Linked DNA regions of Kluyveromyces lactis. The protein of the gene in region 2 binds, or shares a complex with, the protein of the main gene of each other region. Links are inferred from orthologs where the notes say so. Each region holds a gene or a part of one and is shown on either strand. Other genes may lie near its edges.

Region 1 (10,977 bases), on a different chromosome or scaffold from region 2:
AATATATCACCATATCTACCGCAGATGTACTTATTCAACAGCATGAAATTCCTTGAACTTTTACTACCGGAAAGCGGAATATCTTCCTGCTCAACCACTTTTAATTGAGTGTTTAACGACTTTAAGAAATCTAAAATTGTAGAATTAGCCATATTATCTTCGTTCAAATTTTCCTTAAAAACTTCAAATATTGGATCGAAGAGATTCTTACCAATAAGATATCGAAGATAGAAGTCGTCATTTAAAAATACGATGTTTTTGAAACAACGCACTGCAGCAAGCCTTAATTGAAGGATATAATCGCTTGAAGCAAGTGATATAAGCCTGATCAAAATTCCATTCTCGAGAATAAATCGTCTAGATATTGATGCCTCATGACCTTGAATCATGAGATTGAGAAGTTTCACAAGTTTTATGAGTAACTGTTGATCACATTCATAGAGATTAACAGATCCATCGATGAAGCAATGGAAAAGGGAGGGCGCAACTTGTCTATAGAAACATTGCAAGTACTCAGCTAGCTGAAATTTCTCGTGATTTCGTTCACCGTCTAATCCATCATGATTTTTGCCATTCTGAATTTGAAGCATGTTATCAATTCGTGTGTCGATATTGTCATCATGGTTTTGATAGTCATCTACAATATAGTCTTCAGGATCTAATAAACTTACAAGTGCTTGGAAGGACTGTTCCTTCAATCCCGGACTCTTATCAGTGAGCAGGATCTTGGTCAATATAAGTAAAAGAGACATATCTGTAGAATCAATATCTGAATTCTCGTCATTCAATAAGGTGACTTCGTCACTTTGCACACTTTGGATTAGTTGGATATCGTGTTCAATGAGCCCCACAACTATATCCGTTGCAAGGATTCGAATATCGTTATTAGTTTCCATGTTGAATGCAAATTGGATGACTTGGAACAACCCTTTCTTGATTAAAAATTTGTAGAAAAGGGTTTTTTCTATTGAATTTAGGTTTTGGGAAAGTTGGATGCATTCATGTAATAGTTTTATACCGTCCCTTCTTTTATCTGGGGTGACGGTTGAATCCTCCTCAACTTTATACATCGAGATGACTTGATTAATAAAATTGTTGCTATCCTCCTGTAGGAAATCTATTATGGAATTCTGGTATGACAACATTAGGTCAGATATGAAGGTGAAAGATTGATCATCCAAAAATCTAACTAGAACCACATCTTTCAAAAATTGAAGCCTAAAATTTTGCGTAATCATTAATTTGATCGTTGGATCTGAGATGGGAATCATTTCCTTGAAATTTGGCTCCTTATCTTTCAAATATTGTCTATGGTTAAGTTTTGAGTTTGGAAATTCAGTATCATATTCCAATATACCGCAAACGCATAAAAAGTTTTCATCATTGATCATCTCTTCCAAAATCTCCTTGCTGTTGAACAATATTAGAGTTTTCACAATGTTGCTCAATAATAATAAATTTCGATATAGTTTAGATTCTTCTGACTGATAGAATGATCTGATTAGTGTTGCTAAATAGTGATCGTTGATAACAAATTGAATTGTCTCATTTCGCAGATAATCAAATGACGTGTTTTCGTTTAGAATTTTCAATGCTTCTAAAAGGGATTCTTCTGTCTGGTTTGGTACATTTGAGGGAAGATTGACCGGTCCTGTTATTATCTCATGAACAGACCCGATTCCATCATCTGTCGATCTTACAGCTACCAAAGAGATGCGGCTTTCAATGTTTTTCTGTACAAAGCAAATATATTCACATAAAGAATCGCATCCAATGCTTTCTTCAAAGGATAAAGCTATATCCTGACCATTCAGATCCTTCCAGACAATAAGAGTTTCCTCTTGACGCTGGTATTCGATGTTTTGTTCGAGCCTGGACTTAAGTAAGACCTGGTCATCGGAGTCTTCATCGACCACCAAAAGATACGCCATTTTCTCTGCAGTCTGAGTGTCATCTATAGTACGCTCTTCCACTGTCCCCTGACAAAACCCTGTCCCAGTATCCTTCCACTCGTTATTTTCCAACACATAGACTTTCACGCGTTTCTTCTCAGTGTATACCGACTGTTTGGCACCATCCCCAGAAACATGCATATTGTTAGATTCAGACATATCTTATATTATGCTGATCGAAGCCCTAATAAATGGCAAGATCTCGTAAGCTCTTTCTGCTAATTGTGACCTGACAAAATAGGTTCAAAGTCTTGTAAGCAAAAGTTGCAATGCGTTAACAACCGAGTGAGTCCGAAAGAAAACTTGAATGTTTACACTTCGTCGAAAGCGTCAGTGACTTCTTCCAGTTAAAAAAAAAGGACAAAGAGGATTAAACACAAGCGCTATAAGAGCTTTGAAGTAACAGATTCTTGTATGTTCAATATCAGATTATCCTCCCCTTCCGCTTAAAACCCTCACAAGACACTGCTTCTCTTTTATTATGGGGTGAGATGAGATGCCCTGGTCAGAAGTCTTAAATTGGATAGTTTTTAACTTTGTTCTTTTTTTTCTTCTTCTTGGCCGCTAAACGCAGTGATAAGAAAAAAGAACAGTTTTAAGGCTGCAAAGCACACCGAGGGAAAGAGGACATCGTACTGAAGTTCGATCATAATTGTTTAACATACCGCGTTAGCAAATAAAAGTGTAGGCAGTGGTACTGTACGTAGCAAGGATGTTAGCTATAGATATATTTTTTAATCGATCAAGCAAAGGCGATCTTTTTCCTCTTCAATTGAAGACGTTTATTTCATTACGTACGTATTTCTATTTCTTTTTTCCTGGTTCCTATATCCACAGAATGACCCTGCATTATACTTTACAAAGCAACTTTACGCCAGCCATCACGATTTGGGGATTGAGGGTTTAAAATTCATTTCTCGTAGGTCTCATACTTAAGCTTGAACTGTTTTCTTTGTTTCGCTCTTTCCTTTCTAATTTTTCTCAAATCTGGAGGTGGTGTGACGTTTAATTCTCTTCTTAGTTCGTCTATGTCCTTATCCAAGATTTCTTCCCAATAGACATTGATGAGAGGTTTGCAATTCAGCCCTGCTTTGACTGCCCATGGGAGGTAGATGGAGTAAAGTCTTTCCTTTTGCACTTTCTTTAATCTCAATGGTGCTAATAGAGCACCAAGTGCAGCCATTGGGACACCAATGTTTGATGCCTCAAATGCTTTAACTGCAATCTCACCTTCGATTATGATTGGTAGGTCATTTATTGCATGATAAAAGTCATGGCATTGTCTATATCTCTTAAATATGAAAGCATGGACAGGATCATCGATATAAGTAACTGGTGCCCTTGTGTCTGGAGAGACCCCCTCTTTCATCAACCATTTGTAGTACGTATAGCCAACTGAATTTTTATCCATCTTTGACAATCGTTCCATGTCAAGGCTTTCCGATGTGATGTTTGGTCTGTCTTGTAGAATCCTTCTACCAGTCTTATCTAACAACATTGTCCGTTTTAAACTTTCAAGAAAGCAAGGTAGAGCAGTAGCTTCTCCTAATTGAACGATGTTCTCACCGTTCTCCGGGTGGAAATAAGATTTTAAACCACTGATACCGAAGAGCATCATTCGCTCATACCACCAAAGTGGAACATGACCCTCATAATTAGGTTCTATCGGTCTTGTGTTTCGTAATGCATTTAACCTTTCTTGAGTCCTTTGTTCCATCTTATGCTCATACTCTCCATTTTTATTATGCAGATTCCCTTTCTCCATAGCATCTGCTAGTCTAACATCTTTCCCAATCAATAGGTCTCCAAAAGCTGCTATTGCAGTAAATACGATTGTTCTCTTGCTATTATTCAATGGACTGAAAGCGTTACGACTTGCTTGTAAGGATTTCTTACTTACAGTAAACATTTGCGGTCGTCGTCTGATGCGTTTAATAGCACACTTTCCCTAATAATAAAAAGCTGTGTCCCGGAGTACAACTCGTCAATTGAGTCAAATCTAGAATCTGTGTAAACCTTGATCCTAATCCACGCCAGCAATTTCAATTACAACCACTTTACAATTTTCAATGATCTTCCTTTATCTCTAGTTAAAGTATATGTGGGTGAGTCGCATCAACTTCAAGAAAAGGTTTAAATTTGAAATATTCAGAAGAATCATCATACGAAAAAGGCAAAAGAATAGTAAAAAGGTTGACAAAGGAAAACGCCCATCTTAGCAAGGCTCTTGCTATCTACACGCTAAGGGAGCTTTGCTACATTAATTCTCAATTGCATAAATCCGAGATGACTACGGAATTATATAATGATGGGGCATATAAAAATGCTCCTACATATGAGGAGAGCTCTTTGTTACAACAGACATGGTTGATTAAAGAAATCATAAAGCCTGAGCTACCTAACGTTATGGACCATGTTGAGAAATGCATAAACCAACTATCTAGTCCTGAGAAATTTCGAATGCCTCTTACCAATGGGAATAGTGTCTCCGTTAACACATCAGGTGCCGCGCCAGACAGCACATCGATTAAAGGGACAATCACTAGACAGGCCGGATTTATAGTGGATTTTCAGGCTATCATTAAGCTTCCAGACTTTAGCAGGGGTAAACCAATAGTTCTAAAGATGGACCTTGATAAACAATTTCCCTTAGTTCAAATAAATGCCATAATTACAAATTTATCATCCGTATTGTCCTTATTTGACGAATTACAGCAACTTTCCGAATTACACGATATGAAACTTGATGATATTCATACTTTTCACAATAAAATTGGGAAAATATTGGAGTTACTTACACAATCTATTACATTATTACAAAATCCTCCACGAGAATTGGTCTTTCCGCATAATAACAACAGCTTCTTAAACGACAACTTCTCTGAATCTCATGACATTTGTGAATCAGCACATCATTTGGTCAATATGGAATTAGTGCTATTCAAAAACGAGATTTGCTTGGACATTAGGAATTTGACAAAAGTCATTAAAAAACCCTGGAGTGAGATCGATTCGAAAACTGGGTTATCATTCAGTGATAAAGTCAGAGACAGGCTGAAGCAAGACAGAAATGGAAAAATCGCAGAGATCCTTAAGGAAGAAGGCTTGCAAGTTGAACAAACATCTATGATAAACAATTTGATATCCAGTTTTTCAGCAACTGAAAGAATCACTCTTCCGCAAGCAAGCGATCTATTGGCTAGGTGTGTGACATTTAACGGGCGAGTTGTCACTGAATGCGAGAAAGTTTCAATTACCACCAGCGATCCTACATTGATTAGTGTCAGTGCAAAGTTGAACGGGCTTGAAAACAAAATCAGCAATCACTTTGTAAATATTCAAAATTTAAGTTAACAATGCGATAGATAGAGAGTCGGCGTATGCTTATTTATCTCTCTTCATGCAATTCCTGTATTCTTTGTATCAGTTCTTCTTTACGATTCTTTAAGTCTTTGAGACGTTCCAATTCTTCATGTGTCGAGGATACTATTACAACTGGATCCGATTTCACATTATCTATGATGGGGTTACTTTCTTGATTGTTGAATCGTAGTTTATTCAATTCGAATGTTTGTGATAGAGTGGCCCGCTCCCTTTCCAATTTGGTTAGAGCTTTTTCCAGTTTACTATATAGTTTTTGTAACAATGGTTCTATATCCTCCATCAAATCAAGTCTGGCCCTCTGCACATCATATTCTGATACCAACTGGAATACCCTCTTAGTTTGTAGCATATTTATAGCAAGTTTAGTGCTTCTATCTGTAGTGACCTTAGATACGGTTAAACATTTCGCCATGTCATCGACACATGCTGCTAAAGCATCTACACCCTCCGAAAGTACCTCTTCCATTGTGTCAAATCAGCTCAAATAACAATGCCAAATTATCACAGTGCGTTATCCAATTACAATCCTGCCGATCTATGTGAAGTGTTGTGTTTTCATGTGTATGTTGCGTAATGTTTGTTTACCTCTTTTCTATGTGGTGAATTAAAATAATTGTGATTGAAATTAAGTCCATTCTTTTCTCAGTTTCATGATTTTAGTATTATCTTCACAGAAGTGGTAAAGCAGCTTCAGCAGTATTTGCTACGAGGCAGTCTCTCCATTGAAGTGAATCAGAAGCCGAATAAGAACTTGCACTTTGCACTACCTTTTTTTGCATATGGTTTAATTGGGTTCTTATAAGCAGTGAATATGACTGAGAAACAAGGAAGTCGATTGGATCCTCTTTCAGCAAACCAGAGTAACGATAACACAAGCACATCAAAAACAAAAGGAAGAAGAGCTCGTTCCAACTCAAGCAGCAACGGTTCTTCGAATGACAACTGTTTGAATTCAAGTAATGACGCTCTTAATAAACTGACTTCCGCTGAAGATGAGAGAACACAGGCCAGAAACAAATACACACATGTTTTGGTTCTAAAATCGTTGAACAACACATTTGAGACTAAATTCTTAGTAGTTCCATTCAAGCCCAGTGGACTAAAATTGGGACGACCTGTCATTGGAGCTTCAAATTCTGGAAGTAACGGAGGACTTTCCGGCAAAGCTGATCCACAGGTGAAAGCTGATAATGGAAATTTTGATTCTAGAGTGCTTTCAAGAAACCATGCATCGTTATCGTGTGATGCTAAAACTGGTAAAATATGTATACGTGATCTGAAATCATCTAATGGTACTTTCGTGAATGGTAGTAGGATCGGTCAAACTGATGTTGAAATCAAAGTGGGGGATGTGATAGATTTAGGGACGGATATAGACACAAAGCTTGAACATCGTAAAATAAGTGCATTAGTGGAGGACATTTCAGTGATACCGTTGATTGGCGAAAACGATAAACTACTAGTATCAAATAAACGAGATTTCAGGAGTACACCTGCAAACAATGGGATTCCAGACCCAATGGTCACGATAACAACTGCTCAAAAAGCTGCGTTCGAAGCCGCCATGTTCGGAGATGTAAATAATCTTGACCTCGAAGATGCTGTATTGGGGTCTGAAACGGAAATATTGAGTGGAATATTTATAAACAATTCTATCGGAACAAGTCCGAATTTGATTAATATCATCAAGACCTTAGTGACAGATCTAACACTTGAAAAGTTGGAATATGAAAAGTTGAAATCGATTGACAATTTCATCGTTAATTATATTACAAAGCTTGAATATCTATCAAAGATGAAAATGGAGCAAGCGGACTCACAACTAGTCAAACTTCAGAAAAGCGTTAAACAGAAGCTTGCGAATCAACAGGCAGAACTAACCACCATCCATAATGAAGAAATACAGGCATTAAAACAAGAAAATAAGAAGCTTAATGACTCCCTAAAGGAAAATAATGACTTGAAAAATACTAAGATCAAACAGCTAAAAAGTGAAGTTGATGAATTACAGACACGTCTTGAGGTCGAAATATTTAAAAATACCCAATTACAACAAGCAAAGTCAAAACCGGTAAAGACGAAAGACGATGGTACTGCACAATTACCAGCTGTATCAACAGGTAGTAAATTACCCAGTACTACAACCAACTTGCTTTTATTAAGTTCTATCTCGGCAGGGGCTTTGGCTGCTGTGTTTAAATATGCAACAAAGTAAAACTAATCATAAATATCATTCTTAAAGTAAAAATTAATCTAAGCATTTCTTGCAGACTACGGGTGATGCGTCTAATCAGTGTAAATGGGTAAATCATCAAGTTGAATTCTCTCTACTGTGGTAATGCCCAAAAGTTTAGCTAATTGATTCACGAATGCAACTGCTACATCATTAACAGAGGTAGAACTATCAGGGACTTGTTCTCTTATGGAAGTGGCTTTTTTTTCTGACAGCCCGCACATGGTAAAACTGTTCATATAAGACAAGTCTGGGTCAACGTTAATACAAATACCATGTGAGGTGACAGATCTTCTGACATGTATGCCAATACTGGCAATTTTTTCTTGATTAGAGACCCAAACGCCGGTATCATTGGTTTTTTGGGTAATTAAATTCAATGGTTCATCTGATCCTTGGAATTTTGGAACTACTTTTAATGCGTTCATGGCCGCGTTATCAATAGTTGAAACTAAGCATTTGGCCGGCAAGTTCTGAAATGTCTTTAAATCGAGAATGATGTATGCGACTATTTGCCCTGGACCATGAAACGTCACTTGGCCACCTCTTTCAGCCTGCACAAATTTGGGTTTTTTATTATATTTCTGTTTTGATGGAATAAAGCCTTCATATCTGGCGATCTGTTCATCCGTAATTTGTTTCTTAACACGTTTTCCGCCAGTATAAGTGGGTTCAAATTGAAATGTAAGCACAATTGGATTTGGCTTCATCTGATTGATATTATCTAGTATCATTTGTTCGTGAAAATTCAATTGTATCTCGGCATTATGTTCTTTTTGTAAGTTTGTCATTTCTCTCTTTATCTTGGATTGTAGTTGCTTAATGTCAAGATGAGCGCGTACAAATTTCTCCTGAATATCGATCCCCGTTTCAAATGGGATCTCTTTAACGAATTGCAAGTGTCTGATTGTTTTAGCTGAAGGATCAATTGGTTGCGTACGGGCGGTTGATGTGCATTTCAGAGTGGATTGAAACCGGACTTTACGGAAAATTGTACATCCAAATTTTGAAGGGTACCAGTAATTAGTACCTATCAGCATCAATTTAGACATACTTAGAGTACTCTCTGGAATCTGGCTAACGCAGAATAATTGCAGGTGGTTAAGGCACCTATGTCATTATCTGAATTGGGGCCTTTGTTTATGCGGAAATTCAGAAATGTACTGTTCTGTTTTTTTTCTCTTAACAAAGACATCGCTGAAATTTAAGAATATGAAGCACAATGAAGCGATGAGCATACAGGAAACATGTTTCATGACGTAGCTTCAGTAGATAGATCATATCACGGGGTTCAACAATGAGAAATGATGAAACCAAGTTTTCAGATGGTAAGATTTCTAGATTACTAGAGTGGCTAAATGGGTCTGGAAAATGCTACGTTAATCCAAAGATCGAGGTATTTGAAGATCCGTTAGTTGGCCGAGGGATCAGGCTTGGCAACGGTATGTTGACCAAAAATGAAGTATTAATTTCCATTCCTAGTTCTCATCAGTTAAATTTTCACACGGTGTTGCATTGGATAGCAAAATTTAATAAGAATATCTTTACCAATGATAATATATCAATTGGTGAAGCTGCAACGGAATTGTTTGATGACCAGGGCCAAGAAGATCCCAGAATAAAAGCTTATGGAATTTTCAATCAAGAGGAACTTACTGATTTCAATTCTTTTCAGCTACTATGTCTTTTTATTCTTGCAGAATGGATTCTGCTTCCGAATTGGTCTAACGGTACAATAACGTCATGGTGGAAACCGTTTTTCGACATATTTCCTACCGACGACGAATTGAGATCGATTCCTACAAAATGGAGTCTAGTCCGTTCGGATAAAAATGCATCAATTTTACTTGAAAGTCTTCCAACGGCGTCAAGTGAGCACGAAAAGAGGATTAGTCAACTTTTGCTAGCTGATTGGAATGCTGTACGAGGATTTCTTAAAAAATGGACCGAAGAATTTACTCATTCAACTATTGGCATGGATGAGTTGTTCTCGCATTTTGTACACATTTATTTTGTGATTAACTCGAGATGCCTATATATGGAAATTCCATTAAAAACTGATGTCAAAGATTATTTCACTATGGTTCCCTTTGTCGATTATTTGAACCATACTAATAAGGCGAGTCTGCATTGTTATCCGGAAATCAATAAATTGAAAAGGAATGTCTACGGGTTGGGAGAATTCTCGATTAGGGTTGGAAATCACCAGTATGAGAAGGCCGGCGAAGAGTTATTTCTCAACTATGGTGCTCATTCGAATGATTTCTTATTGGCTGAATATGGCTTCACGACTTTATGCAATGAGTGGAATTTCATTGATTTGACTCCAGAATTTTGTAATATGTTTACTGACCCGAAGGATATTACATTTTTGGATAATCTCGGATACTGGAAGGACTTCACTATATCTAAAGGGGAGATAAGTTACAGAATTCTGGTCGCTGTCTCTTTGCTAGTTCACCGTGATCACCGAAAAACAGAGAGATTCGCTCTGGGCTATATTACGGAAGAATACTTCGAGCCAGAAACTTCTTCCGTAATAAATTCATTACTTCGAGAATTAGAATTCCAATATATGTCCAAAATTGATAGAATCAGTGAGATACAGGATGATGACTGGTGCAAACGAAATCTTCTCAATTTATATGAAGGATATATAGAGATTTTACGAAGTCTTTTGTAATGCATGCTATATCCATACTTAACAAGATACTCATAACTAGCAAGGTAAAATTGTCCTCGCTATTTTTAGTCATTAAGGTATTACTATTTACAAGCTCCAAAATAATGCTCTATCTTTGGTTGACTGGATTTTACCTCTAACAAGGTTGAACACCATTTCATTCTTAGGAACAGGAATTTTCTTATATTTAGCTAAAGAAATGAAATACCCTGTTAATTGATTGATGTTAGTTTTGTTCAAGGCCTTTGAATTTTCCAGCATACGTGGTCTCATAAATCGTCTATCATAAATATGTTTGTGGATCACCTTTTTTAGTATGTCTTTATTGAATACAGCGTCAAAGTGTGGGGTACTTCGCAGGAAGGGGTAACAGATGTTCAAAATATTGATTTGCTCAGTTAATAGTTCATCGACTAGCTGTTGGAAAAAAGGGGATTTCAGTAACTCACCGTATCTCTGGCTCTCAAACAATACTGCAAGCGGCTCAACACATGAATCTATGAGGAGCCTTTCGCACTTAATCAGCATGAAAACACCATACTGGTGGAAAGAGGGTTGGAAAATATGATGACTTTTAGTCGGTTCTTTAAGTTTAGCTAAAAGCTGCATTAAAGGAAATGTTTCAGTCCATTCTTCTTTTAATGTTTTCTCATAGGTGTAATTTTTAATTCTGTCAGGTACTTTAGTAATGCTAATTGGGATAGGGTTCTTATTAATCCTTAATG
Region 2 (11,003 bases):
GTCAAATCGTCAAATATGTCCATGTCATCTACCTTCTTCCTGTTGAAACAAACCTTAGACGATTTGCTCGAGGAGTTTCTGTCATAATTCGATGGGATGTTATTGATACATATCCCCATATACCCTGAAAATATTTGAACGTTTTCTAATCCATCAGTATATTCCTGTGAACTGAACTGATTTGAAATGACTGGATATAGGGGAGATTTATCGTTGAATTGATATTTCACCAAATACGTTGAACTCTGATCGACGTTGTAACAACCCACTAATAAAAATACCAATAAAAATACTGAAATAAAAGAAGTAATTAACACCAGCACCCTAGGAATACGTTTTCCTAGCTTATAGAATAAGGTGAATGGTAGAAACATAATGATTTTGTATTTATCAGTGTTTTGTTGAAGGATGCTAAGTTACACCTAACTGTACTAGAAAGTAAATTGAAACTAAAAGCTCATTGAAAGTTTGCAATATGAATGCATCTGGTTATATACGTTTAATGAACTGAAATAATACTGCATCATATCTGATAATCTTGTTCCAGTATTCAAGTGTTTCAGTGTTTTTTAACAGTGATACAGATATGAAACAGACCTGAATCGACTATGAATGACAGAAGACATGCGCCAATGCAACCTCATAATACATAGGAGAGGCGAAGGGGGATTCGCATTGAATATATCTGTTTTAAAAGAGTCATACAAATATGGTACATACGTAGTGATAATGGCAGTATACAGTAGAAATCTGAGGCCAGACGAGAGTGTTGTTGAATGAAATGCGAAAGTCCGAATATGTAAACTTGACACTCGATCGAACAATTGCCTTCATTGGAAGTGGCTCAAAACAATATGTGCGATATGAGTAGAACCTTGAAAGAGGCCAATATTAGTTTCTTATAATAATTCTTTATCGCCATTTGGAAATGTAAAGGCGTAAACGTCTTCATAGCCCTCTGAGAGAGATATTTAGTGAAATAAATCTCAAAGTAGTTTTTTTAATTGTTGTTAAGTTCTTCAATTCATAATCATAAAATATAGAAATGATGTCTTAGAATGATAATTTAAGGAAACCCAATGATAGTTTAACATTATAATACCAAATAATATATCATTTTCATTGATAGAGGTGGAAAATAGGTGTAAGTTTAGAAAAAAAAAGAGGCAGAAAGGGTGATAAGGAACTGCGATTGTAGAGGGGATGAGGATGCTCTTTCCTCTTCAGTATGAAGGTTCCTGTTTAACTCTTTCCAGCTAATTTAGTGATAAATTAAAAGTATTCTTTTCTTCATATTACGTTTAATCCAAAGAAGAAGCACCAGTAATAATATCAACCAACTCGTTGGTGATAACGGCTTGTCTGGTTCTGTTGTATAAGATGGAGTAACTGTTAATCATGTCACCGGCGTTCTTGGAAGCGTTATCCATAGCGTTTCTTCTAGCAGAGACTTCAGCAGCATAACCTTCAGCCATGGCAGCCAAGATTTCGTTGGATAAAGTGAATTCGAACAAATCTTGAGAAACGTTGTTGTCAGCATCGATTTCGAACTTGGAGAAAGAAGGAGATTGTTCAATGGCAGCAGCGTTGAAGACTGGCTTGTTAGAAGGTTCGAAGGACAAAGAAGAGATAGGGTCGTTCCAGAAGATCGAAACCTTCTTGTAATTGGAAGCACCACCTTCCAAGATCTTGTTAGCAATCAAAGAAGTTTCTTCAAAAGTTGGAGCTTCCTTACCAACACCATTGAAAGCGAACTTGAGGTTGTCAGAGTTGGTTCTTAGCAATTGACCCTTAACCTTGTCACCGATGGCAACAACATCAGCGTTTGGAGTTTGCTTCAATTGAAGTCTAACAGCCTTGGCCAATTGAGAGTGAATAGAACCACACAAACCTTTATCAGAAGTGATGGCAATGATCAAATCTTTCTTTTCAGCATCTTCCAATGGAACAGTTTCTGCGTTCTTGTAGAAAGCAGCATCGGCCAAGGCATACTCCTTAGCACTGTTCTTAGCTCTTTCAGCCTTGGACAATCTGGTAGAAGCAACGATCTTCATGGTCTTGGTGATCTTTTCGATGTTCTTGATAGACTTCAATCTGGTTTCGATTTCTCTCAAGGTTGCATAGTTTCTGGAAGTACCACGTACAACGGATGCAGTGTTTCTCACAAACATTGTTATTCGAATGTATATTTCTTACGTTGGGCTTGCGGGGTTGAACAAAGAGAACAGTTGAAAAGGTAGACTGGTCAACTCAATGCAAATACAATTCAAGTATTCACCGTGTGGAACGTTAATCAAATTATTCAAAATACACACTTGTAATAGTAAAAGAGTTAAAAAACCTCGAAATCGATATGTTTGAAAATTATTTCGAAGATTGGGAATTTCACACCGGGTCGTGAAATTCGAGGTATAAAGGGAGAAAGACGGGGGGCAGAAGCCAGGAGAGAATAGGGTGGGATAGTATAGGTTATTTGTAGCTAGTCTTGAGTAGAATGCTGCGGTTATGGAGTGAGAGAGTCAGCTTATATGGCCAGATATATACTCTAATTGAAGGGGCTCTGTGTATCTTTGAAGATGGAACGCCATTATATGGATCATCATATACGAGTCCAGCAATAAATTTTTGATTTCTGTGAGAATATAGCGGTCTTACCCGGACTTGTTATGTATTCCATGGTATCATTGGCGGAAAGTCACGTGATGTAACGACAGCTAGGGTCAAAAAAATAAAAATTCTCCGCGACGGGGAATTGAACCCCGATCTCGCACGCGACAAGCGCGAATTCTAACCATTAAACTATCGCGGATGTGGTAAAATCCAAAGAAAGCACTCACGGTGGGGGTCGAACCCACAATCTTCTGATTAGAAGTCAGACGCGTTGCCATTACGCCACGCGAGCATATTAATTTGGATGTTTGAAAAAAACATAATTTGATGGTGCATGCAAGGATGCTCACCACATGCTTCCGTTTCCCTTATTATTACAACTCAAAAAGGCATGCCAGGCAGGGGGAAAAAAAAGGAAATTTTGATGGTTATAATAAGGCACAATCTTCAATTTAAAACCATTACACACATGGGTTCAGATCCCCCACATGCAAAGACTGCTCCTCCCCTCTTTTCACCTTGACGCAAACCTTTTATTTATTCTCTCTCATCTCTATATTCTGTCTACATAAAATGAATTTAAACTACCGTTACTGAAAAAGGAAGAGTGTAGCGTGCAGGTGCTGCTGGACGTTATGTCATATCTTGACATTCGCATGTCAGAAATTAGGGCCACCTGCAGTTGAAACATCATTTAGAAATAGTGAACATCAGACATTTAGTATCTGTTCAATTTCTATCTCGATATCTATTCCATGTTCAATTTAATCAGTATTCAGTCTTTCGTTATAATTTTTTTTTTTAAAGCTTCTTGATCTAATATATCAATAAAGAAAAACAATCTTTCAATTCATCTTAATAGATATATCCTCAATCTGGCCCAATTATCGGTTCGCGCTGTTTGCCAGGTGAGCCAAAGAAAGCCAGTACTGTATTCATATTATTCTGTGATTTCATTCTCATCTGCGCTTCTCTTATCTCTTGTAACAGGACTCTTTTTTTTGTTATTATTTTGGTTTTCCAATCCTTTGTTACAGGCTGTTTTATAAACACATGGAGCAAGAGGTTAATGGCCTGCAGCAGCAGCAACAGCAACAGCAACAGATGCAAGTACAACGGCATGGCTCTAATGAAAATGCCGCACAACAGACCACTCTGGTTGCGGCTCACTTGCAGGATTTAAGTATGGACGATAGTTGTAACAAACAACGGCATCCTTCACCCCAAATTAGTGGTCAGAACCAGCAGCTGCAACAGCAGCAGTCTAGTAGGAACAGGAAGAGTTCTGTAATTCATGGTAGAAAAGCAGCTAATTACTTGAGAGTGTTCGATGATAAAGACTCAGATGTCTCGATTCCTGATCAAAGCCTAAGGAAGTATTCTGGTGGTGGCTTAGGCTCCAAATCTAATTCAAACTCAAATGAGACAGAGATCGCGCATGGTCCTAAATCGTTTATGAAGGTCAGCGTAGACCAACGACCTGTTTTGAAAAATACTAAGTCGACAGATTTGACAGATTTACATGAGCTGGAAGATGTGGATGCGACAGAAGGTGTTGCATTAGAACCAAAAACTTCCGCGTCCGCTATCTACTTAACAGATGAAGATCGTCACATTTTATCCAGTTATAAAGATATCTCTATAATTGATGAGAAAGATAAGACAAGTGTCAATCTCTTTGGCCCGGATGTAGTGGTGCCCCCTATTCATATCGGTGCTGCGAGAAATCACAAGGATGAAGAATATCCAAGGAAGTTAACTAATACAGCTTTAGAACAACAACGGCACGATGAACCGCTGAGAATTGAAAATAAGATACCAAGTTTCAATTCTAAGACAATTCCTGATGAAAGTGCTATCGCTGACGATGATGATGACGACGATGTTGAAGAACACGGTGATTTCCCCTTGGCGGTGGAATTGAAACCTTTCACGAACAAAGTTGGAGGGCACACTGCTATCTTTAAATTCAGTGAAAGAGCCGTCTGCAAAGCTTTGGTTAATACAGAAAATAACTGGTACGAAACCATAGAAAAGGAGCATCAAGAACTTCTTCAATTCATGCCAAGATACATCGGTGTATTGAACGTCAGACAGCATTTCCACACGAAGGAAGATTTCTTAGAAGAAATAGTTAACAATACAACCAAGTTCAAAGCGAATAATAATACTAATACCTCTAATGACAACTCGCATATTTCCAGTAATGATCTGAGGAATGAGAGAACACTTAATGACCAATCTAGAAGCTCATGTAATAGATTAGCATCACCTACATTCTTGTCACGAATGGAAGACATCAAAGAAGGGATTTCTACACTACCGGAAGTAGTGCTAGATGACAACAAGCATATTATACCCAATTCACTGTATCAACAATATTCTTCATCCCGGTCGACTTCAAACTCGCCTTCTAGTGCTCCAATAGATTCATTTTTGTCGTCTCGTTCTTTTGACGGAGGAGAGGTTTTTAAGGGTAATTCCAATCAAGGATCTGGATCAACTAGTGTCAACACAAAATTACAAGAATTGGTGGTCAAAGAAGCTTTCATGAGACGGAAACCCTCGGGTGTATGTTATAGTCCTCGTTCTTCACGTACTAGAACAGGATCTTCCTCGTCTCTAAAGGAATGTAAACACTCGAGATCTTCTTCCTCTTCTTCTAATAAGAAATCAAGAGGCCTGGGCAACGAACAATATTTACGGCGTAATTCTATGAAGCGAGCAGCCGTATCGACAAATAACGTATTAGATGTGAATCCTAGCAACTTGGAAGATGACGATATTATGTTTAAGTTGGACGATGATGTTCATGAATCAGATGTCAAATCTCCCGAACAACAACAAGGTGCCTTCAACCATGAATCTGTTTCCGTGGAAGAGACTTCGCATACTATTGTCTCTAAATTCATCTTACTCGAAGACTTAACTCGAAAGCTTAAGTGCCCATCAGTTCTTGATTTGAAAATGGGCACCAGGCAGTATGGAGTTGATGCCAAGAGATCCAAACAGCTGTCACAGCGTGAAAAATGTAAAAAGACTACTTCGAGGAAGCTTGGAGTGAGATTATGTGGGCTAAAGATTTGGGATAAGAAGCATAATTATTACATTACAAGGGATAAGTATTACGGTAGAAAGGTAAGAGTCGGTTGGCAATTTTCTAGAGTGTTAGCAAGATTCTTATACGATGGCGAGTCGAAAAGAAGTATCGTTAAGCAAATTCCTATCTTGATTCAACAATTAGATACTTTATACAGTGAAATCGCGAAGCTGAAATCATACAGATTGTACGGATCATCTTTGCTCTTATTTTACGATGGCGACAACCCTCAGAACAAACGATCTCGGGTGAAGGTAAACATTATAGATTTCGCTAGGTGTGTCACTGATCGTGATATAGAAAAGTCACTAGATCGTTTTAAGATTGCACCTCATTTCCCAAACAGAGAGGATCAGGGATTCCTTCGAGGTATAAAATCCTTGAAGTTCTATCTAGTTCATATTTGGAATTTTTTAACTAACGACGCCGCTATGGTCCAACATGGAGAGCAGCTAACGCAGTTTTTGGAAGATAATATAGACAAATTCAATTCCAACTGGGACTGGCTAGATGAATACGATAAAGAAGATGACGCCGAGGCCTGCAATGCGGAAAGTCCTTTGCGCGTAAAATGGCGGAAATATGAATTGATCTTTGACATTGAGCCCAGATACGCTGATGACGAAGTCAGCGACTAAGGCCAATCATTTGAATAAGAACCAAATTTTTTTACTCTCAATTACAACTACATCCAAACGACATATTCTTGTTAGTGCAATACAGCTTCAGCATAATTTATATATAAGCTTGTACGTAACTACCGTGTAAGTATAATTCGGTTTTTGCTTTGCAGCTAAGGCTAAAAGTCATAGGTTTTAGCATTGTTACCTGGTGGAAAGTTGCGGGCTACACGAGTCGATTGTTGTGGTTTGTATTTGTTTGAACAACGATAGGGTTATATCGATATAATTTTTGAAGATCGGATAACAGAACTTAAATTGTTCAAGACTGATAAGATTTATTCTCCCAGCTTAGAGAGACTAGCCAAGAGTTGAAGATGCCTTGGCCAGCCAAATATACTGGTTGATTTTTACTTGCCCTTTTACGCTAAAGAAACTTTCAAGAACTATGTAATATGGTGAAAGAGTAAGCATTCAATAACTTTTTCCATTTTATATCCGAGAGAACATCGGTAGGGTAAGCTGAATATGATGTGAAAGGGCAGTCAGTCGTATTATATAGCTTGGCGTGAGATGAAGATCGTTTGCTAATCCAGGTTACCAGTATTTCGCTTAAAATTAGTGGTTTCTTACATTTGCTATGTCTTTCAAACGTCTGTATATGTGCCAATGATAATCCTTGCCGGTAACATCTTGATTTCATATTTGAAGGTAAATTGGCAGTGAAGATTCAAATACCGCAGATCGCGATATTCGCCTATTTTAATGTCTAATTGAGCTGCTAAATGTTCCAATTACCTAAGCTTTGGAGCCAGTTGGTTCTCAGCGATACACCAGGTTTCTGTCATCAACGACTTAGTATCTTTATGAGAAGCGGACAGTTTTATTAAAACATTTAGATCATGGAAATACACGAAAAAGGTAAACTGATATGCATTGTATATCGAGGGTCATCGGAAAATAACAGGAGTCCCGATTTGCATACACTGAGGGCCCAACATATAGCAAGCAGCAATGACAGAAGAGGTTCAACAGCTATCGACAGGCGACAAATATTTCATCGAGCAAAGAAGTCTGATATTACAAGAGATCAACGAAAGCATGGATGCCATTTTGAATCAATTAAATGGGTTAAACATTACCCTTGAAAATAGTATAGCAGTCGGGAAGGAATTTGAAAACGTATCACAGATATGGAAACTGTTCTATAATGGGCTTGAGTCTGAAGAACAGAATATGGAGACGGTAGGAGTAGCAGATTCTGAACATATTACGGAGGATGTCAATCCTGAAGGGAAATAGAGAATTGGTTTTATATCAAGAAAGGCACAAATTGAGGAACTTGATAAGCTTTGCAGATAAAACTTACCAGCCAATGAACTACAGCAACGTGTCGCATCATAAGTATTTTTCATCAGTTGTTTGTTCTAGAAGTGTGCTTCTATAGACGGTATATATATGTAGACCGTTTGGTACAGGATAAAAAGAAAGTTAAGAACACGCCACATATTTTTCATCAGTTTCTGCTTAAATTTCGTGCGTCTTCTACTAATCTCTTGATTTGCATCCGAAGCTATACTTGTATTGAAGGGAAATGGGGCAATATGTTTAACACCCTCGAGGAAAACAAGTGCATACTGACAGAAGGGATTGTGGCATTTAGCGTTACTTTTTGCTGGGCAACAACAAGAAGTTGGTTCCTTGGCCCAGTTGGTTAAGGCACCGTGCTAATAACGCGGGGATCAGCGGTTCGATCCCGCTAGGAACCATTCTTTTTTTCAAAAATTCCTCTCTTTCTTAAGTATACAATGTAACGCTGAACCTCTTAATAATACGGAATATCTTCCATCAGTCAGTCGAAGTGAGCAAATGGAATATTATCACCCACAATGGTAATGCTGGTCCCCCTGCCTACGTTATTATCCTATATTCTCTATCTTTAAGTCCAATGCAGCTTGACGCGACTTTTCTCTTTTGAGCAAAAAACAACTTTCTTCAATAGAAAGAGAATCTGCAATTTGATGTTTAAACAGATCAAGTTCTGGAGGAGTAAAACAGATGTTTGGTCTTTAAATAGGCCTTTGGTTCTATTATAGAATATATGATGGGTGCGGAATCACGATCGGTATTTGTGTGATGCAATTTCTGGGGTGGTAAGGACCAGTGCCACACTTGGGTTTGATTTTCCTCTCATCGAGTTTCGTGTGCGCATGTTCGTCTCTCACATCGAGTTATACTCTCATCTTCTATACATTAGAAGGATGCATCAGCAGTTTGATCTGCTGAAAGAGTTCATACACCCAATTATTGTTTAAAGGCCTGGTGTTGGGTAGTATTTCTAACGGATTTTAGAAATGCTATGACAACAATACCTTTAGAATTATATTGTGTGGATATTTACTTCTTGTTAAACAGACTGTGACATATCTCAATGAGAGGGGATTATTCTCGTTTTTGGAGTTATTCTGATGCCTGTTGCTCTTGCTCCTACGCATAGAAGCATAGCATTGAACTCCATGGTGTGGTACTTCAAATCCGTACACCACATACCTAATCAAAACCGCCTCGCAACGGCTTCCATATTCTCGTCTGTATTCAATCGTGGATAGTGGTTTCAGCTCGACGTGGGTATGCTAGTGACTCAGAGTTTGGATGTACTAGGTTTCATAAGGATACCCAACTGGAAATGTTGCGGAAATATCACATTCGTCCTTGCTCCATTGTTAACTCAGTGTCACTTTAGGTCCTATGGGAAACAATGTTGAGCTGATGCATTTTTCCGTCAAGCCATTACCGTTCTTCGGGATGGCAAGGATTAGCCCTTCCTATTACAGGCTTTATAATGGAAAACTCTTAAGATATATTTCTAGGTTTTTTTCCATGACAGAGAATTAAGCCTGTGGTTCATGTTGATATTCCAGAATACGCAACAATTGCTGCGTATTCGGTAGGTTTCTTTTTAGTGATTTTTCCAAACCCATTCTTCTCTTCGTTAGTATATTTGACTCGGTTCTATTTCAATGTGTCGCATTGAAATAGAAATCCTTTGTGCATAAAATCATTTACCTCAACTTTCCTCACCAAGTATCTTTGAATGATTTTGCTCCCATCAAGAAAGAAAGAACTTCTACTACAACGAGTCAATATGCTAGCATGGTGGAGGTACAGTTGTCCTATGGTGGATCTTGAAAAGACCCTCGGAAGACAGGGCCACATCGACGATCAATATTTTGCCTATCATCAACAAATTGTGACTGATTTTTCTCTCATCGTTTATGAGAGAACCCTCTTGTCTCTTGTGATTGACGCTTATATGTCACCATGGCATGCAGCTGCTCCTTATAACCACTTTTTGGTACATCTCCCTACTAAGACTCGGGAACTGTTGCACTTATCAATTTATTCTTGAGATAAGGGCAACATCCGTCTCTAAGTAAACATTTTTTTCTTCTCTAAAAGTTCTTTATGAAACATAAATATTATAGCCTAATGCCCGGTTGAGTAGCACTGTTGGGTTTCTATCAGTCTGTAACGCCGACTCTCTCTTCATCGCATTTGAGTTGGCATATCTTGTCCTTTTGTTATTACGTAGAACTGTCTGTTGACATTTTTCATTTGAAGTGACCGAAAGAAACTGACTTGCATCAGCACATGATAAACCAAAACAATGTAAACAACGTAAACAACGTAAAAAAGCCCAAAATATCCTGCCAAACTAGCCAGTGTACTGGAACTTAGGGCTATGGGTTATAGGGACGCCTATCGTGATAATAAGCGCGTTATCAATGAAAAGCTGTATGAAACCCTGTTGGTTTATTTAACTTTCATTCCGTTTACTGTTCTTGGCACTTATACAAGGCTTGGAATATTCCGTTTGTCGTCATATGAACCGTCATACATCACTGCAACTTCTACAATATGGTCTAATATGGTAGCATGTTTCCTATTTGGTGCTATTAGATATGCTGATGGGATTATCACAATAGATTCATATACGTTACCTTCATTGACCACGGGATTCTGCGGTACCGCTTCATCATTTTCATCTTTCATATTGGAATTGTTTCAACATTCCACGCATTCGGCTATCTCAGGTGCGCAGTACCCCAATGCTGGGTACGGTGTTATGGAATTCTTATCTGTGCTTCTGATTCAATTAGTTGCTTCTGGAGGAGCGCTCGTGTTTGGACAAACCGTCGCTCGACATCTTCTAAATCATTACACGAGCTATCATAAAAAGCTACAAAAATTCATCAACTATGGCGGAAAGTTGATGAGATTCGCATGTATACCCATAGTGGTATCTCAAATAGTTCTTGCTATTGTATTTTCAGGCAACAGCAGGTTCTGGACACTTGATGCCCTATTCGGAATTGTTGGAGCTAGTATTCGGTTCGAATTATCAAAGCATTTCAACAATAGGTTCAACTGGTTCCCAATGGGAACTTTTTTGGCAAACATTATCAGCTCGACATTGGCTTGCGTTCTGTTCATCTTAAGGTACGGTTTGAAGGACGGGCATCCTCTCGTTACAAACGCTGAGGCTACCTCGATGGTCTTGTATTTGTTGTTGGGGTTCTGTGGTAGCCTGAGTACGCTAAGCACTTTCGTATATGAGGGCAACAATATGCCTATCACGAACGCATGCTGGTACTATTTCCTTTCAGTTGGTA
Region 3 (10,211 bases), on a different chromosome or scaffold from region 2:
GCCAGCAAGCTTTCACTTTCCAGTATTCATAGAAAACATCAATCAAATTAACTGGAATCTGTATATAAATAGATGAACCTGTTTATATTCAAGACTCTGTCCCCAAGCGATTAGTCTTCCTTCCTCCAGCCAATTGCTTGCTCTGCTTTCTCATAAATACCAAGGGAAACAATGGGTGTTGATAAGAAGATCAAGAAGTTCTTAAGAGACGCCATACGAGTGGCTCCTAAGATTTCCAATAAAGGTGAATTGTTTGAACTACGAAATGGATTAGTATCTCAGTACCCACAGACCCGAAAGGACGCGATCCGTAAGATTATTCAACAGATGACTTCCGGCAAAGATGTTTCATCTTTGTTTCCCGACGTTTTGAAGAATATAGCCACTCAAGACATTGAACAGAAGAAATTGGTATACCTTTACGTGGCTAATTATGCAGAAACTCATCCGGAGTTATGCATCCTTGTCGTGAACACATTCGTCAGCGATGCAGCTGATCCGAACCCATTGATTAGGTCTATGGCAATCCGTACCATGTCGATGATCAGAGTTGATAAGATCTTGGAATACATTGAGATTCCGCTAAGAAAGACTCTAGTCGATGATAATCCGTACGTGAGAAGAACCGCGGTACTATGCGTTGCAAAATTGTTCCAATTGAACCCGGACCTATGCCGTGAATTGGGCGTATTGAACGATTTGCAAGACGCTTTGTCTGACGATAATCCAATGGTTGTTGCCAACGCGCTTGCCGCACTGCACGAAATTAACGAATTGGACCCTGGTTCAATAGATATCAAGAAATTAGTATCTCAAAACGTTAAGAGGTTTTTGAACGTGTTGAACGAATGTACAGAATGGGCAAGAATCACTATTTTGGAGTCATTGAGCGAACACAAACCAATTGACCCTATGGAGTCTCAAGAAATTATCGATAGAGTTGTTCCACATTTGCAACACGTAAATCCATCAGTGGTCTTGATCAGTGTTAAATGTATACTCATACATCTACCAAATTTGAACACAGTCCATGACTCTATATACAACAAGTTATCAACTGCATTGGTCTCACTAATGTCGACCCCAGTGGAGATCCAATATGTTGCTTTGAGAAATATAAGAATTATTTTGGATGCCTTCCCAAACTTGTTAAGGAAAGAGTTAAGAATATTCTATGTCAAATTTAATGATCCATTGTACGTGAAGATAGAGAAATTAGACATCTTGCTCAGATTAGTGCCCGTGGATAATTTGAAACATTGCCAGATGCTTTTCAACGAATTAAAAGAATATGCAAAGGACTTTGATCATGAATTCGTGACCAAAGCTATCCAATCCATCTCACAATTGGCCATTAAAGTCTCGAACGGAGGTGAAGATACGAATAACAAGTTTTTGAATATGGTCATGGAAGAATTCGTTTCGATTGTCCAGGAGAGAGAAGAGTTTAGGGATATATTGATGAGATGCGTATGCGACATGTTACGTTATGACAGTGACAACAATCTTATCAAGGAAACAAGTAAGAATGAGTTGGGTGCCATAATTTCCTCATGGCAAGATATCGATACCATATTTACATCTGATCTAGGCAGTTGTAACTACATCTGGTTTATCACCAACTATACAAACGAAAATTTGGAAACTAAGCTTGAACCACTGGTAGAAGTTTTCGATGAATTAGGATCCCTAACTCAAATGTCCCTTCTAATGGGTGTAGTGAAATGCCATAATGCAGTCTCAAGTGCTTTCTTACAGAAGATCTTGGAACTTTGTACGACAGACGTCCACGATTTGGACGTTAGAGACATGGCCATGATGTACTGGCGGTGTCTATCGATCGACAACGGTGATCAAATCATCAACCAATTATTTGACAAGCATGAAATTCCTAAATTGCATTCTACCTTGGACCACTTCTCCAAGGAAACATTACAAAGTCTACTTCAAGAGCTCTCCACTCTATCCTCTGTGTATTTCAAACCAATCTCGCAGATGCAACGCCGTCCCAACGAAGTTCACATCATTAAGGATAAGGATATTGATGAATTAAAGGGAATGGCCACGAACGAGATCCTGAAAAACATGAACGATGATGTACTACTTGACATGGGTGATAGCTCTGCCACGAGAAGTACAGGCGTCCTGGACGAACTAAATGATCTTTTCGATATCACTGGTGATATGGGGAAAGTAAACATTTCACAGAAAACCAATAATAACAACAACAACACCTCGAATTCCCATGCAACCGATCTTCTAGACTTAATGTAAACTAGTTTACTCTTTTGAACACCTGTACAAACTATAATTATAATGGGAAACAATGAAGCAGATAAACTTCAATCATGGATGTGCCTTTCTAAAATGTTAATTTATTATGGTGCAGTATCTACTACTATATACAAGTAACCCCAGTGGCATGTCATGTCATGTCATATCATGTCAACTTTATTCCTTTTGTTTCTTGAGAAGATCCTCAAGTCTCTCAATCTTACGTTCCACTATCAAGTCACGTTGACGATCCAGATTAGAATCCTTCTGGTATGATAATATACATTTGCGCATAGCGTCACGAGGTTCGTTACACGCTGGGAAAAGCTTCAATCCATGAATCTTTGAACATTCGACCATGGCCTCCACGTATTCTACACATTGTGCATATGCAAATTTCTTCAAATTCTGACGAGCTTCTTTCTCCTCGGTAGGGTTCAATACCCAAATTGGTAATCTTTGATTATGCTTTCCAACGCCCTCTGACATTTCTAAATGAATAATCTATCTTTGTGGTGCAGTATTCCAGTACTATAAGAACTTCTGACCTATGGTTATGGACACAGCAGCAGCTACAAATGACAATACGCTGGCTGTTCCCCAAAATCGTTTAAATCAGTTGACATTGTTCATTTGCATAATGTTGAGATTTAAAGCTTTTTCATGGATACTTTGAAAAATTTCGAAGGTTTAAAAGATTTAATACCATGAATTACGGTGGGAAATTGGTAAAAGCCAGCCAGTAGCACCGTTATACAAACTGTTTAAGCAGCTCGTTAGGTTCTGTCATACCCGGGTCAATTGAATATCTTTGTTTCATAGAGAAATGTTCGGTGCATTCAGAGCTACACAACCTGCATTAGGTGGATTATTATGGAAAGTCCCATGGCGTATGTCTGGTCCTCAAAAAGCAAGACAAAGAGACCGTTTGAGAAGCGTTGATGATGTTCTTTCAACTCTTAAGTTAGGTCTTCATCTTGAAAGAAACCATATGGCGGTTTCTGAGGGATCTCAGCTGAATCTACGTAAGATTAAACCTCGTGTGAAGAGCTTACGTATTTTAGACAAGGCTCAGTATTTCCCAAAGGAACCGGAGATGTCTGCTACTGATAAGTACAGTGTATTCAACAGGTACTCGAAGGGATATAGAAAGGGTATACATAAAGTTCCCAAATGGACCAAGCTTTCCATCAGAAGAAACCCACGTCATTTCTGATTTGGATGAATCATCATTAAAAACTTCTATTATTACATAGTAAGTAGCCCCTGTACATAGTGAATAAAATCAAGGTATCATAGTTCATCCCAGATGTTGTGAGATGATGATGATGATGATAATGGACGGGCTTCATTCCTTAGATCGAGCAATTGGTCATTATATAGTGCTACGTCAAGGGAATGGAACAACTTCAACTTTAGCACACGTATCTTGTCATCTTTACCGATCGGTTCCTCATCAATCGTGTGGGCAGCATCAGTATCGTCATTGAGTAATTGTTTCTGTGTTTCTACGACCTTTTGAATACCCTCTTGTATCGTATCTCGAAGCTGGTTAATTTCCTGTACCAGTTTATCTATGTCTTGTTGCAATTTCGGTATGTTTAATTCGTCCTCTACGCGTTTCACTTGGCTTGTTTGCTCCTGAAAATTCTTTTTAAGTGCCTGCACTTTAGTTTGCTGTCTTTGCAGCTGTGATTGCAATTGTTTCATGAGCTCATTGTGGTGTGTTTGTTTCTCAGCCATCAATTTCGTGAGCTGTCTCATATTACTCTTGATCTCTTTAATATTAGAGACATCGCTTTCAATGATGAAATTGGACCGGGTTTGCTGTAAAAGCTCTACTGGATCATTGAGCCGTGACATTGGGTGCTGCAATATCCACTGTTGCTCAGTACTGTGCAGTACTGTTTCATATATCACATCTATTTATGATTCAATTCGATGAGATTGTCAATTGTGTTCACTTAAATCAAAACATTGAATCTTTAAAATTGCATCCACTAATAGCAGAGAACCTTTAAAACAGAAGTACCAAAGGATATTGCTCAAGATCTTTACTCGGAAGGTCATCCACGTTACTGATATTTACCATGGACAACAAACAGCGCCAATATGCGAGACTAGCAGCACATTTGAAACAACTTCGTGAGAATCTCGATGAGACAACGGCTCAAGTGGAAATCATGGCAAACCAAAGCAATATGATAACGAAACTGGGAGCCGTCCAAGCCAGCACTTTCATCGGCAGTAACCGTGTATTCGAAGATGAAATGTTAAAGAAATGAGGTATGAGATACATGCCTACGATAAATATCGGTTTGTAACACTATATGTATATATGAACGTATACCTAATATCTATGGATCATGAGAAAATGAGAAAATGAGATCAAAGGAAAACCCCCGCTTCTTCTCTAAACGGTGGTCTCCTTCTGGCGTTCGCGCTCCTTCCTTCTGATCTTTTTCACTTCGTACTCGTGCGAACCTTTGAACTCGGGTCCCAAGAGTAGAGGTTGTGGTTTGGGTTCATTTGTGAAGTAATGATGCTGTAATGCTTCAGTTGTCGTGAATCTTGTATCCTGATCGTATCGTAACAATTTGGATGCCAAATCTAGGGCATCCTGCGGTACTTTGCTGAACTCATCGAAGAATACGTTCTTGTAAGTCTTAGATATTTGTGGTACAAGCATGAACCACCACGGCATATCTAACATCTTGGGCCATTGTTCCAAAGTCGGACTTCCCATGATGCTCAATATTCGCTGGAATTGATCTACTTCGTTAGAACCTGGGAATATGGCAGCCCCTGCAAACAATTCCACTAAGAGACACCCACATCCCCAACAATCCACCTCGTATTTATAGTCTGTTGCCCCTAGAAGTAGTTCGGGAGGCCTGTACCAAAGCGTAATGACTCTGTTGGTATTGGAGGCTGGAGAAGAAACGTCCGTTAGTTTCTTGGCAAGACCGAAATCTGTTATCTTCAAGTTACCTCTGTTATCTATCAATAAATTCGATCCCTTGATGTCTCTGTGTACTATTTGCTGTTGGTGCAAATACTGTAACCCAACGAACAATTGCTTCATCAAGTGCTTAATGTTGGAATCGGAAAACTGGATCGATTTATCCATTAACATCCCTGACAAATCGTTCTCCATGTACTGGAATCCCATAGAAATTGTATTTTTATCCGATACGATAATCTCATGGATCAAACTAATGTTTGGATGGTTCAACTGTTGTAATAGTTTAATTTCACGAATAGAAGTTATTGGAAACCCATCACGCTCTTGCTCCAACCTAAGCCTCTTCAAAGCGATAAGTTTCCCAGTATGTACGTTCTCCGCCTTATAAACTTTCCCATAGGTACCTTCTCCGACTTGTGCCAACGGTTGGAAGCTGGATTTCACATCTTGAAACGATATCAATGCCAAAGGTTTCTTGCCAAAAATATTTCTTGAATGAGAATCTCCAGCGCTTTCTGCACTTGACCCCATAGCCCTGGGGCCCCTAGGTATACTGCCATGACCTTCGAACCTCGATCCACTCGTTTCAGGTCCATTACTGGGCCTGTTGAACTTACCTCTTGGATTTCTTTTCCCCAAAGAACGATTGACGTTAACATTTCCAGCTGTATTATGATGATTATTAGGCCTATTTGGCTGGTACCGCGACTGCGACCCACCGTGGTAACGAGACTCCTGTCTCTTCTTCCTGAAAATCTTGGGCTGACTCATGGATACCCCTGTGTTTGGCCTGTGGTGTGTCCATTTCATCATCATTCCAAACTATAACTGATAAGTTTTCAATGTATTTAAGTATAAAGAGTTTTTAATGTTGAAAAGATGGAATACCTAGTATATTGAGAAGAGAAGAAGAAGAAAGGGAAGTAAGAATATGAAACTACAGCCGCTTGAAGCGGTTCAAAGTTTAGAATAAATAAATAACTGGATCATTGATATAGAGAAGTGTACATACTGAGAAAGGAATGTGTGAGTAAAGCGTCTGTGAGGGAACAGAGAAAATTTTCTTACCATGTTAATAGGTAAGAACCCATGATAGCAGTCAATCCTAGCACAGCGTAACCTGTTCTGTAGACACCTTTCAAGGTCAACTCTTTACCGGTATCCCAGATCAGATGTCTGATACCGTTACCGAAATGGAATGCAAACAAGTATGCGAACCCAGCCTTTGCGGTCAAATCAATCCAGGATGGGATCTTTTCGTTATAAAATTGAACCAAATTCTCTGTGGACATTCCTAGACCGAACACAGTGGAAACACCGAACGCAATAGTTACTGCATAGAACGCTAGACCCAAGAAAACACCGGAAACACGATGCACGGACGATAAATACCATGTCAATTGTGGTTGATAAATGGTCAAATGAGGAGACACTGGTCTAACTTTTCTCTGAGAAACTAGCAACTCGTACTCTTCTTGAGCCGTAGTCTTCTTGGTGACGACATTAGACTGACGACGAATAAAAGAAGCCATCAAACCTCTTGTGTTTGAGGTCATAACTTGGGGTCTTAGACCACTAACAATTCCTGGTTTCAAAACGTTTTTGAACATGGTTTGATAATAACAACTGTATGTATGCCTTTTAACTCCTGCTTTCCTAACAAAATACCAGAAATATTTGCCAGTCGGACTTTTAAGACCTGTCTATGAAGCAGGCAAGAAAGTAAACAGACTTTATTGTCTTGATGAGTATATTCTTTAACTAATTCCCTTATATACTTTTCTAATGGTTGAAACTAAAGTTTCCGGTTTCCCAGTTTCGGTCATTCGGTCCTTTCGGATGATTTCGGAACGAGTCGGGAACCGCTAGTCACGTGCCTTTAATTTGAGAAATATCGTCGATCAAAAAACTAAAAGTTGGTCACGTGCTGATTTTGGCAGCTATGAATACTAGGTATTAGACAAGTGGACATACCATTGGTCTATTATCAAGGCATTAACTACATTAACTTTTATTAGATGGAATGATGTGGAATGATAGTTTACATAGGTGTATAAATTAATAAAAACACTCTCTCGTCTATTGTCTATTGTCTATTTTCAATTTGGGAACTATGGGCCCGCGATTCTACCGATGGTTTCTACGGCGCTAGCGATGAACGCAGGAGTAGCTGGATCATCAGTGTGGCCATTTCTGATTAATTCTCTGAATGCAACGACAAAGTTGATTATTAGCGTAGTAGACACGATGACGGAGACGGCCAAAGGTCCGAATGGTGCGTCAAGGTGTTTCCCACTACGGGCTCTGATGACGTTTATTCTGTTGATGTAGGTTTGGTACGCCCATAGGCCAGTAAATACAGTCAATGCAAAGTAGATGTAAGTTAACCACTCGGCCAAGAATGGCATGTTTGCCTTCTTCACAGAACTCGAGATGGAAAAGGTTAACACACTGAGTAAAGTGGTCACTGAGAGCCATTTGTTGAACGTACGTTCGTTGGCTAGCCATACCTTTGCTTCGACTTTCACAGGACCAGCGTTCTTGATGTAACTTGTTGGTTTCTTGACACCCGGTGGTAATTCAATTTCTTCGTCTTCAGAATCGACACCGGTGAGTTTGCTGTCAGTGGTGTCTCTACCTGTCAAAAGATTGAAAATGTTAGGTTCATGACGATGACGATGTTTCTGTTTTCTTGCATCTGATTTCCCTTTGTTTCTGGCCAAGGTAGCAGAATCTTCATCCTCGGAAGACTCTTCGTCTTCCTCAGGTTCGTCTTCTTCGTTCAAGGCACTTGTCGATGGTGCAGCTGGTGAAGACTGGTCTCCGCCACCGGCTACCACTGACAATCTCTTCATCTTGTCCATCTTGGCGACATGCTCCTGTTGTCTTTCTAATTTCTTCTTCTCTTCCTCGTAGGCCTGGTTTGGATCCTTTCTGATATCGAATTCCAAGTCTGGTAACCAGAATGGTAACATATCCAATTTTTCATCGTCACCGAACAATGAGGCCACACCTTGTACGTATTTGGAGAACTTTGGCACTTCTTTCACCAAATGGGAATTGGCTAAATCAGCGATCCATTTCACTTGGTTACCACCATGGGCTAGAACGCTTAGTGCATTCTCGGATGAGGCAATAGAAGACGCAGATGTCTTCACTTTGATTTCCATAACAGAGTATGGGAACTTAGCGTATTCGCCAGGTCTAACCAATTTCAATGGATGGGCCACGTTAGAATCAATGTCAGATCTGTGCCAGTGATGAGGGTCTCTGATTGGACGGTCCTTGTCAAAGGAATCTTCACGGATGTAAAGGATATCTGAATCGATAGTGATTCTTACACGGTCATCACCTGGAATTTGGAATGCAGTTCTTTGGTATAAAGTTCTTAGAACTGGTTGTAATTCGTTTTCAAGAATGAATTGTTGGATGGAATCGAAATTGTTTTCCAATTTCTTGGTAGTATCGTTGCTTGAGCCGGATTCCTTCAATTTCTTGAGCATCATTTCCTTATATTCGGTATCACCGTTGAAAATAAATCCATTGATGAATTTTGGTTTCAACTTAATCCTTGTTTCATCGAAATCGGTCGAAGAAGAATCCTCGTTGTCTACAAACATTCTCTTTTCAAGGAAAATGTCCGGCTTGTCGTTCAATTTACCAATCCATCTCAATCTCAAAGTTGGAGCAGAGTTGGTTTTCAATAACTTGTTGTTGTACAATTCGAAGAACTCGTTATCGAAATATAGCGTGGAGATGACAGGTTCAAAACTTTTGTTCAAATGACCCACATCGGTTTCGTTACTGGAACTGGACATTGCTGGACCACCGTCGTCATTCAAAAGATTAGACTCCAATCTATCGATCAAGTCTTCGTTCTCAGAGGGTGCTTGAGCATAGACTAACACTGGCAAACGTCTCAAGATATTAGTTTTCACTTCCATTAAATTATCTTGATGAATCCAGAATTTGAAGGATTGTGTAGACATCTGTTCGTTCTTTGGCATAGAGGAAAGTTTTGATGAGTTAGCCAAAGATTTCGATACAGATGAGAAGTTGTTACGCAAGATGTTGTATAGATAAGAGATCTTGTACAACAATGGAGAGTATTCTTCCGAATGGAACGGTAACGATTTTAATCTCACTTGTAACAATGACTTGACAGATGGGTAACCTGGATGCAATTTGTCGTGTTTCTTCACAATCTTGGTGAAACCAGTGAAATTTAAACGTTGGAAATTGTCCAATTCCTGGGCCTGACTCAAACATTCTTCCAATTGTTGATGGAACGCCTGAAAATCAATCGTATGTAGATTCTCTTCACTTTCAGTTTCTTCTTCAAGCCTATTCAAGGTATTCATAATCTTATTGTAAGCAGAAGTTTGAAATCCATAAACTTTCTCCAACTCCTCATCCAACGCGGAAACAAATTTGGATTCATCCTTCTCACTCCAATATTCATCTACATTACTCTTCCCCTTCTTCCCCTTCTTCCCACGGCCAGAAGAAGAACCATTGAACATTTCAGAGTCTCTGATAACGGACTCTTTTAACAACTTTTTCAATTTCTCATAATCGATATAAGAATCCCTCCATGGGGGATAAGTATCATTAGCTAGCTTCACACCAAATAGCATTGTGCCTTGAATTTAAAAAGACCAAATCCCTCTTTTGACAATATTATAAGGGTTATAATAAACAGCAACCCTTCCTGGTTATAAAGCTGAAGATGGTGATCAGGATTACACTTCTCAATTCAAGATACAAGGAAGCTGAACAAGAAAATAGAAATCTACCCAACTGTTTATTGGCTAAATAAAATCTTTAAGTCCATCCTTATATCTGTTTCTTTATTTGCATTTCCTTCTAATGCACTCTTTATATAATCATCGATGCCCTTATATTGGGAAAGTTGGGCAATTTTATATTGATCTTGAGTGGCACGTGGAGATGGTCATGTGATTATTTACGT

Evidence for each region.
Region 1: DAD1 (region 2) and SPC19 share a complex: the UniProt entries of both Saccharomyces cerevisiae proteins name them as parts of the DASH complex. The link is inferred for Kluyveromyces lactis from reciprocal best matches to the Saccharomyces cerevisiae genes DAD1 and SPC19.
Region 3: DAD1 (region 2) and HSK3 share a complex: the UniProt entries of both Saccharomyces cerevisiae proteins name them as parts of the DASH complex. The link is inferred for Kluyveromyces lactis from reciprocal best matches to the Saccharomyces cerevisiae genes DAD1 and HSK3.

What each region holds. Positions count from the first base shown.
Region 1 is NC_006040.1:1,581,218-1,592,194, reverse strand, and holds SPC19 (Spc19p), read right to left. Parts: upstream 5,803-10,977; coding exon 5,341-5,802; downstream 1-5,340. Other genes in the region: PSY2 (Psy2p), read right to left, coding at 1-2,111; ubiquinone biosynthesis protein COQ4, read right to left, coding at 2,863-3,861; RAV2 (Rav2p), read left to right, coding at 4,239-5,306; KLLA0_D18799g (uncharacterized protein), read left to right, coding at 6,148-7,551; lipoyl(octanoyl) transferase LIP2, read right to left, coding at 7,623-8,621; RKM2 (protein-lysine N-methyltransferase), read left to right, coding at 8,867-10,252; CBS2 (Cbs2p), read right to left, coding at 10,340-10,977. UniProt on the Saccharomyces cerevisiae protein: Component of the DASH complex that connects microtubules with kinetochores and couples microtubule depolymerisation to chromosome movement; it is involved in retrieving kinetochores to the spindle poles before their re-orientation on the spindle in early mitosis and allows microtubule depolymerization to pull chromosomes apart and resist detachment during anaphase.
Region 2 is NC_006038.1:603,031-614,033, forward strand, and holds DAD1 (Dad1p), read left to right. Parts: upstream 1-7,344; coding exon 7,345-7,632; downstream 7,633-11,003. Other genes in the region: FIG1 (Fig1p), read right to left, coding at 1-374; ATP3 (F1F0 ATP synthase subunit gamma), read right to left, coding at 1,302-2,171; inositol polyphosphate kinase KCS1, read left to right, coding at 3,664-6,348; KLLA0_B07040g (FluC/FEX family fluoride channel), read left to right, coding at 10,073-11,003. UniProt on the Saccharomyces cerevisiae protein: Component of the DASH complex that connects microtubules with kinetochores and couples microtubule depolymerisation to chromosome movement; it is involved in retrieving kinetochores to the spindle poles before their re-orientation on the spindle in early mitosis and allows microtubule depolymerization to pull chromosomes apart and resist detachment during anaphase.
Region 3 is NC_006041.1:1,076,089-1,086,299, reverse strand, and holds HSK3 (Hsk3p), read left to right. Parts: upstream 1-4,364; coding exon 4,365-4,559; downstream 4,560-10,211. Other genes in the region: APL2 (Apl2p), read left to right, coding at 172-2,274; CMC1 (Cmc1p), read right to left, coding at 2,452-2,763; MRPL31 (mitochondrial 54S ribosomal protein mL60), read left to right, coding at 3,101-3,490; kinetochore-associated Ndc80 complex subunit SPC24, read right to left, coding at 3,568-4,137; cyclin-dependent serine/threonine protein kinase CTK1, read right to left, coding at 4,688-6,055; succinate dehydrogenase cytochrome b subunit SDH3, read right to left, coding at 6,304-6,849; VTC2 (vacuolar transporter chaperone), read right to left, coding at 7,351-9,876. UniProt on the Saccharomyces cerevisiae protein: Component of the DASH complex that connects microtubules with kinetochores and couples microtubule depolymerisation to chromosome movement; it is involved in retrieving kinetochores to the spindle poles before their re-orientation on the spindle in early mitosis and allows microtubule depolymerization to pull chromosomes apart and resist detachment during anaphase.